2 linked regions of the Arabidopsis thaliana genome follow. The protein of the gene in region 1 interacts with the protein of each later gene in a pairwise test. Each region holds a gene or a part of one and is shown on either strand. Other genes may lie near its edges.

The links. The genes of interacting proteins can lie anywhere in the genome.
Region 2: the proteins of HS1 (region 1) and AT1G16000 interact in a protein complementation assay, tested with the Arabidopsis thaliana proteins (one large-scale study listed by BioGRID).

Annotation. Positions count from the first base shown.
Region 1 is NC_003074.8:5,880,177-5,883,752, forward strand, and holds HS1 (heat stable protein 1), read left to right. Parts: upstream 1-1,742; 5' UTR 1,743-1,789; intron 1,790-1,888; exon of another isoform or gene 1,889-1,900; 5' UTR 1,901-2,141; coding exon 2,142-2,281; intron 2,282-2,530; coding exon 2,531-2,720; 3' UTR 2,721-3,024; downstream 3,025-3,576. Other genes in the region: UPL6 (ubiquitin protein ligase 6), read left to right, coding at 1-43, 138-218, 327-400, 507-578, 671-760, 890-956; PMEI2 (pectin methylesterase inhibitor 2), read right to left, coding at 3,152-3,576.
Region 2 is NC_003070.9:5,492,586-5,495,893, forward strand, and holds AT1G16000 (GAG1At protein), read left to right. Parts: upstream 1-1,947; 5' UTR 1,948-1,990; coding exon 1,991-2,159; intron 2,160-2,472; coding exon 2,473-2,564; 3' UTR 2,565-2,774; downstream 2,775-3,308. Other genes in the region: CNGC7 (cyclic nucleotide gated channel 7), read right to left, coding at 1-255, 354-566, 654-1,227, 1,305-1,351; MGT2 (magnesium transporter 2), read right to left, coding at 2,877-3,107, 3,200-3,247.

The sequences.
Region 1 (3,576 bases):
TCCGAAAGAATGGATCGACATGTTCAATGAACATGAGCTTCAGGTGCCAATTAAGTGTATAATTATACTTGCTTTGTTAGTTGTTCCCTCGAGGAGCATGAAGAGAGAAATTTTACCTTTGTGGGCTTTGGTTGCAGGTTCTCATATCTGGTTCAGTTGATAGTTTGGATATAGACGACTTGCGAAACAACACTAATTATGCTGGAGGCTACCACGCGGTGAGTGGTTCTTCACTGTTAGCCGAAATGCCATTGTGAATTAGTGTAGGGACACTTTTGGAGTATTGTTATATATGATTATATCGCTATGTTGTTGACACTTGACAGGGACATTATGTGATCGATATGTTCTGGGAAGTTATGAAAAGCTTCTCAACTGAAAACCAGAAGAAGTTCTTAAAGTAAGCAAACTTTGCAGTTACTACTACAGTCTGTGTACGCAATGATTTACCGGAGTCTATGAATTTTCTAAGGGAACTAAGAGGTACCTCTATTTTTCAATTTCAGGTTTGTGACAGGCTGCTCACGAGGACCACTGCTGGGTTTCAAATACTTGGAACCTGCATTCTGCATACAGAGGTAATATACACAGACTCACAATCGTTTTGACTTTTGATGGGCCCTGGACAATAGAATCATAAAATATCCATCCTCGATGGAATGTGTATCAGGGCTGCCGGTAGTGCGAGTAATGAATCAGTTGATAGACTACCGACATCAGCCACTTGTATGAATCTTCTTAAGCTTCCGCCCTATCAAAGGTTTGTCCTCTCATAACACAAACTCTTTGGTTTTGCTTAGCTAAGAGACTTGTTTTGTTGCCAAATAGCTTCTCTTGGTGTTGTAATTGGAAAAAGCAAATAAAGCATGTCTTGTTGTTAATGATGCAGCAAAGAGCTACTTGAGACCAAATTGATGTACGCCATAAGCGCAGAAGCGGGTTTTGATCTGAGCTGATGGAATAGCTTCCTGCCTTAAACACAGACTTCAATGGCCCCAAATTGACACCCTTTTTTCTAGCATTCCTCGTTATGGTATAAACCGGGTAACCTGTAGACTGAGGCAGGCTTGTTGGCTCTAAGCATCTAAGAGACGGATCTAGAAGGAGAACATGTAGTAGAGATTACTTGACTAATGGGTTTCATTTGCAGCTCTCGGGTATTCGCTTTCAAAAAGTGTGACAAAAAAAAAAAAGTGATTACAGGGAAGTCTTTATTTGGAAGCTCCTGAGAGTTAGTCTTGGGTTAAAAATTCAATAAAAGAAATGGTAAATAAGACTGGTCTCAAGAGGAACTTAAATGCTGTAAATTATTTTGCTTAATTAATGCATGTTACACAGAACATAGATGATTATTTTGATACTTATTTGCATCATACCATATATCTTCTATAAAAAGATGCATTTTAGTGACTTAGTGGTAAGAATATCCTTTTTTTTTTTTTTTTGTCATATGATAATTATTAAAACAGAAACAAAATGACAGAAAAATAACGAGAAATACAAAATGAAATTTAAACTTTACTTTCCTTAGACACTTGATTGTGAAGTCATGAAGGCTCTCCAAGTGCTAAGTAAAACTTAGACTGAAACCTTCTGTCTTGAATCACACTCCCAAGAAATGGAACGCGCGATCAGATTTGCGTTTGTGGCAATATGACGGAATGTACAAGATTCAAATGCACTAACAATCTCATGGATTTGTGTTAACCAATTTCTATAGAAAGGCTATTTGGACGGCTGCAAAACGGCGTTAAGTGCGGCTGGACAGTCCAACTCTATTATCACCGTGGTAAGAATATCTCTATATACATTTTTTGTCGCACTTATCATGATTAATCAAGTAAACATAATTGTTACAAACACTTTATAAATTAAAAAAGCTTCAATTCAATTTGCACAGAAAAGAAAAAAAAAAGAAGAAGATTCAATACAGAGTATACCAGGAGCATCTGGTAATGTTTATATCTGAGGACGTTTTATTTAATTTTTTGGAACGAAAACAATAATCCGACGATCGTATTTGCACGTCGCAAATCCGCTCTTTTAATCAAAGATCTCGACCGTCCATTTTTAGTTAAGACTTTAGAGAGCTGATAAGTGGAATAGTGGAGATTTGCATTCGCAGGGGATAAGGATCAAAAATGGAGGAAGCAAAGGGACCTGTGAAGCACGTATTGCTTGCTAGTTTCAAAGATGGGGTTAGTCCTGAGAAAATCGAAGAGCTCATCAAAGGTTACGCCAATCTCGTCAATCTCATCGAACCTATGAAAGCTTTCCACTGGTTAGTAAATTTGGATTCTGAATTGCTTCCTAGTGTTAGACATATGCTCGAGATCCGAAAAACACTTCCATCAACTCAATATGATTATGTAAAACTAAGCAATTTGGGGAAATTCATGACCTTCCTAGTGTTGATCTAATTTCCCTCAGAGAGAATCCATCTCCATTGATGATCTTTTGAAAAGTTAAATCAACTAAATCGACGAATCTGCTCTTGTCTTATTGAATTATTGGATCTGTATAATTTTAGGGGAAAAGATGTGAGCATTGAGAATCTGCATCAAGGTTACACACACATCTTTGAATCCACATTTGAGAGTAAAGAAGCTGTTGCAGAGTACATTGCTCATCCTGCTCACGTTGAATTCGCCACCATCTTCCTTGGCAGCTTGGATAAAGTTTTGGTTATTGACTACAAGCCTACCTCTGTCTCTCTCTAATTATCTTGTAGCAGCATTTTCATCATTGATCTTTTTCTCGGGTATGCATCTTGTATGTTGAATAAAGTATATTCCTTTTGAGTTTTCCTGCATTGTTCTCATGTTTCTCTGTGAATTTCTCTCTTTTTTGTTTGTTTGTTTGTTTCCTTCTGTTGTATTATACTTGATCTGTAAAAAGATCATGAGTTTATTAAGAGTGTTTGATTTCAGACTCCTCTTTGTTATAAGTCTATTACTAGTTGTTGTCTCTTAGTTTCTTTTATCAATAGAGTTGAGTTATATGGAATAACAAGTTGAAAAGAAACCAGGTTCTTGTTGATGTGTGGGTTGGAGAAAAAAAGTTCTTTGATTATATATGTAACATTTATGCATTACTGTTTAATGTAATCGTCTAATGAGTATGATGAAGGGAGATTGAATCAATCCCACTCTCACATCATGTTTGAGATGACAAGTACAATGCCACAAATATTCTGAAAATCACCACTGTTCTTCACAGCTGAAGGATCAACTTTGAAATCCGCCATGTCTTGTTCACATGTTGAAGGTCCTTCCATAGCTGCTGAAACCTTAATGTTCAACCCTTTGCCATCGCCTGACGCCAGGCTCTGCTTAGCATCATTGAGACTGCTTATTGCACTCTTATAATGTTGTACACATGAGGTGTATGCTTTCTTCATAGTGGGGTTGGTTGCTGTCTTGACTAGAGATTGAATTTTCCTGAAACCTTCTGATGCACTTGTTTGTGCAGAACCAAATGTGATATTTGCAAGCGTTTGAAGATCAGCACCTGAGGTCTTTGGGTTGGATTTCATGTAGCTCGTACAGAAGGATTGGTTTTTCGCTTTTCCACATA
Region 2 (3,308 bases), on another chromosome or scaffold:
TGATACAATGCCTGAAGATATAGCCTGACCGTATATCCCATAGTTAAACTTTGAATCATCTGCTTTAGCAGAACAATTGCTCTTAAGAAGCTCAGGGACTGTTTTGATCCATTCAGTTTCTCCACTGCTCACAAATTTAGTCCCACAATACAGAATCTGAACACAGAGTCGCGGATCTGGCTGAACTTTACACGCAAATCTCCAACAAGTATCGTTACGCTCCACTGACAACATGTACCAAAACGCTCCAGTTATCTGTCAAAATGTGTTTGTAAAGTCAGAAAGTGACCAATGATGAATAAATGTCTCAAAACACTAATTAAGAAGAGTCATATATACATAGAAACGCTTACGTGGCTTGCAAGCATATACCAGAGAAGATAATAAGCAGCACCAGCCCAAGCTCCTTCGGCAAAAGCTCCTGCAGTTTTCTTCAACTCTGATGTTAACGGAATAAACCTCACGAATCTCGGAATATACTGCACAATTACAATGTTCAACAATGCCGTTTTCGTTGGTAACACATCCGATCCTTTAGACCCGTGAAGAAACTTCCACACTGCAATCTGTAATATCCACACAAAACATCATAATCAATCCCAAAAGTCCAATATTTTTAGTAACCATCAAAGGATCTTTTCACTCTGTTTTACCTGCGGTAAAGGCAGCACTGCAAGAAAATCGACGACGAAATAACGGGTTAAATAGCGTTCAGCGATCTTTGCAGGATCAATCACAAGCTCACCACGACCAAACACACGAGAAGAAGGAGCTATATAAGCTGTACGAAACTGAAGAGCCATTCTAGTTAAGTAAAAAACGTCAACAATGGTTCTAAGAGTCGTCGTTGTAACAGCTAGTTTCGTATCAATCCCTATACAGCTGCTTCCGGAATTATCGACAATGGGAAGATAGAAGAACAAAGGATCAACAGAGACAGCTAAAATACACGAAATGACGAACAATCTGTTCCATACGAGAAGTGTTTTGTCTTGAGGATCAAAGATTTTCTTCTCTGTTATTCTTAAGTCTTCTGGAAAAACCGCTCTTGTAACGGATTTACCGATGGTTATTAGACCTTCTGATCTGATTTTTTTAACTCCTTCCCTGAAAGATTTGGATGCTTTCTTCTTTTCACCTCCTCGGTTCTTTAGGTTAAATCCGAAACAGTTTCTCTGCATCATCATTCCAGTCGCAGGAGAAGAACTTGAATCTATATCATCTAACCTGTAATTATAAGTTAAATGTCATTCATAGATCTGAAGAAAACAAAGAAAAATATTGCGATCTTTTGATTTTCTTACCTAACGAATTTTTCTCTTTGGCCGCTTATGTATTGGGATTTGTACATTATTCTGAGAAACAATCATAAGCTTCATGCAAAAATTAACCTAACAACATCACAACAGATCTCAATTATATGAAATAAAAACTGGAAAAGAGCTAATTAAGGATCGGCAACAAATACTTAAAGTGATTTGTAATAAATGTGGGAAAGTGTATGAATGATTAAGGAAAATCTAGGGCTTGAAGAAACTTGAGAATGAAGAAATTGAGGGTTCCTACTTAGTACCATAGATGACGGATGAATGATTGAATACTCCTTTAGATTGGACCGTTGTGAAAGTTGGTTACCATAATCATACACTAACTAACTTTTGATGCGGAGCGTATTTACCGCGTATTTTGACGAGGCGCGAAGAGTTATTATAGCTCTCTTCTCTTCTATCTAATTCACTCTCTTTATTGGCTTTCGATGAGTAGCGAATTTACCGCGTATTTTTTGGTGAAACTGTAATGTCAGAAAGTTATCACGCTTCTACACTAATATGTAACAAAATATGGGGTTTAAAATGTTATTCAATAAAAAGGAAATCTTATGTTGATGGGCCATAATAAGGCCCACTTATACATGGTACTAAAACCTCTGATGGATAAACCTTGTGTGCTGTTGATCGGAAAGGAAAAGTAAAAAAGAGAGATCTGAGAAATGGGAAATGAGACGAAGACCAACGGTGGTCCTGCAAGTATGGCCGGAGGCGGAGGATTCAGAGCTAAAATGGAACATTACGTTTACAGTGGTGAAAAGAAGCACGTCTTGGTCGGGATCGGAATCGTCACCATCATCTTCGGAGTTCCTTGGTATTTGATGACTCAAGGTCCGATCTCTCTCTCATCGTTTAATAATTGTATAACCAAATCCCTTCTTGGGGATTGAAAGGGTAATTGGTAGAAGATGAAATTGGAGGATTTTGATTGCAATTAGATTCTGATTTTGGTTTTCTTGCAAAATGAGAAACATGACATAGTGAGTAAATGGTTTCTCAGTATATATGGAAATGGATCACATTGTTTCATTCTAACATTCCCATAGGACCTGAATCTGTATATCTCTTACATCTGCTTTTGGTTACATCCTATAGTGTTGACTCTGTTTGGGCTAATTGGTTGAAGTTCTTTGGTTTCTTTTAGGGTCAAAGCATCAATCTCACCAAGATTACATGGACAAGGCCGATAAAGCTCGAAAAGCACGCCTCTCATCGTCTTCATCAGCTAACAAGTAGTCTGTCTGAAGGATTGAGTCATTTGCACACTGTTATCTCGTACTCATTTTCCCACACAAGTTAAAACTTAGTCAAAATCTGAGTCTTTTTTGTGATTTAGATTCAAAATCATTCTCATTTTCATGCACCATGTTTGGTTATCCGTTTTTTAATAAAAAGATCAAAGATTCTATCACATTTGGATTGACAATGCCTATGATAAAAATTCCCAAGATTCCATTGTGTAAAGGAAACAAATCATTAATATCTGTAAGCAACATAACAATATAAGTTGATGTCTACTTTCTGGGGAGCACATTCATGTCTCTCTTCTTATAGAGGCATGAGTCTTCTGTACTTGAAGAACCAGACGAATGCCGAAAATATCACAAAGCCACATACTCCAGTAATTATGAGTACCCATCTGAATGCACCTGGCTGATTGAAGAAGTCTATCTCAAAGTTCATCCCAAAGATCCCAGCAACGACCCCAAATATGGCTACAACAAACGTTGCAGTCGTCAGAAGCAACTCGAACTGGATCAGCTGATTCCGCACATTATCCTGCAGATATTGAAGAGGTTTTCAGCATGACTCTTGTGCATTCTCAATCTGGATTAATATCAGCTGTGGAAGATGGAATTTTGAGGTATTACCAGTTGAATGTTAATGAAATCTTCAGTGTCATCAATGTACTCCTTTAACTGTAAAGTAAAGAGAGGAACACAGATGATTAAAGCTGTCTAGCGAAGAAAGATCAAAAGT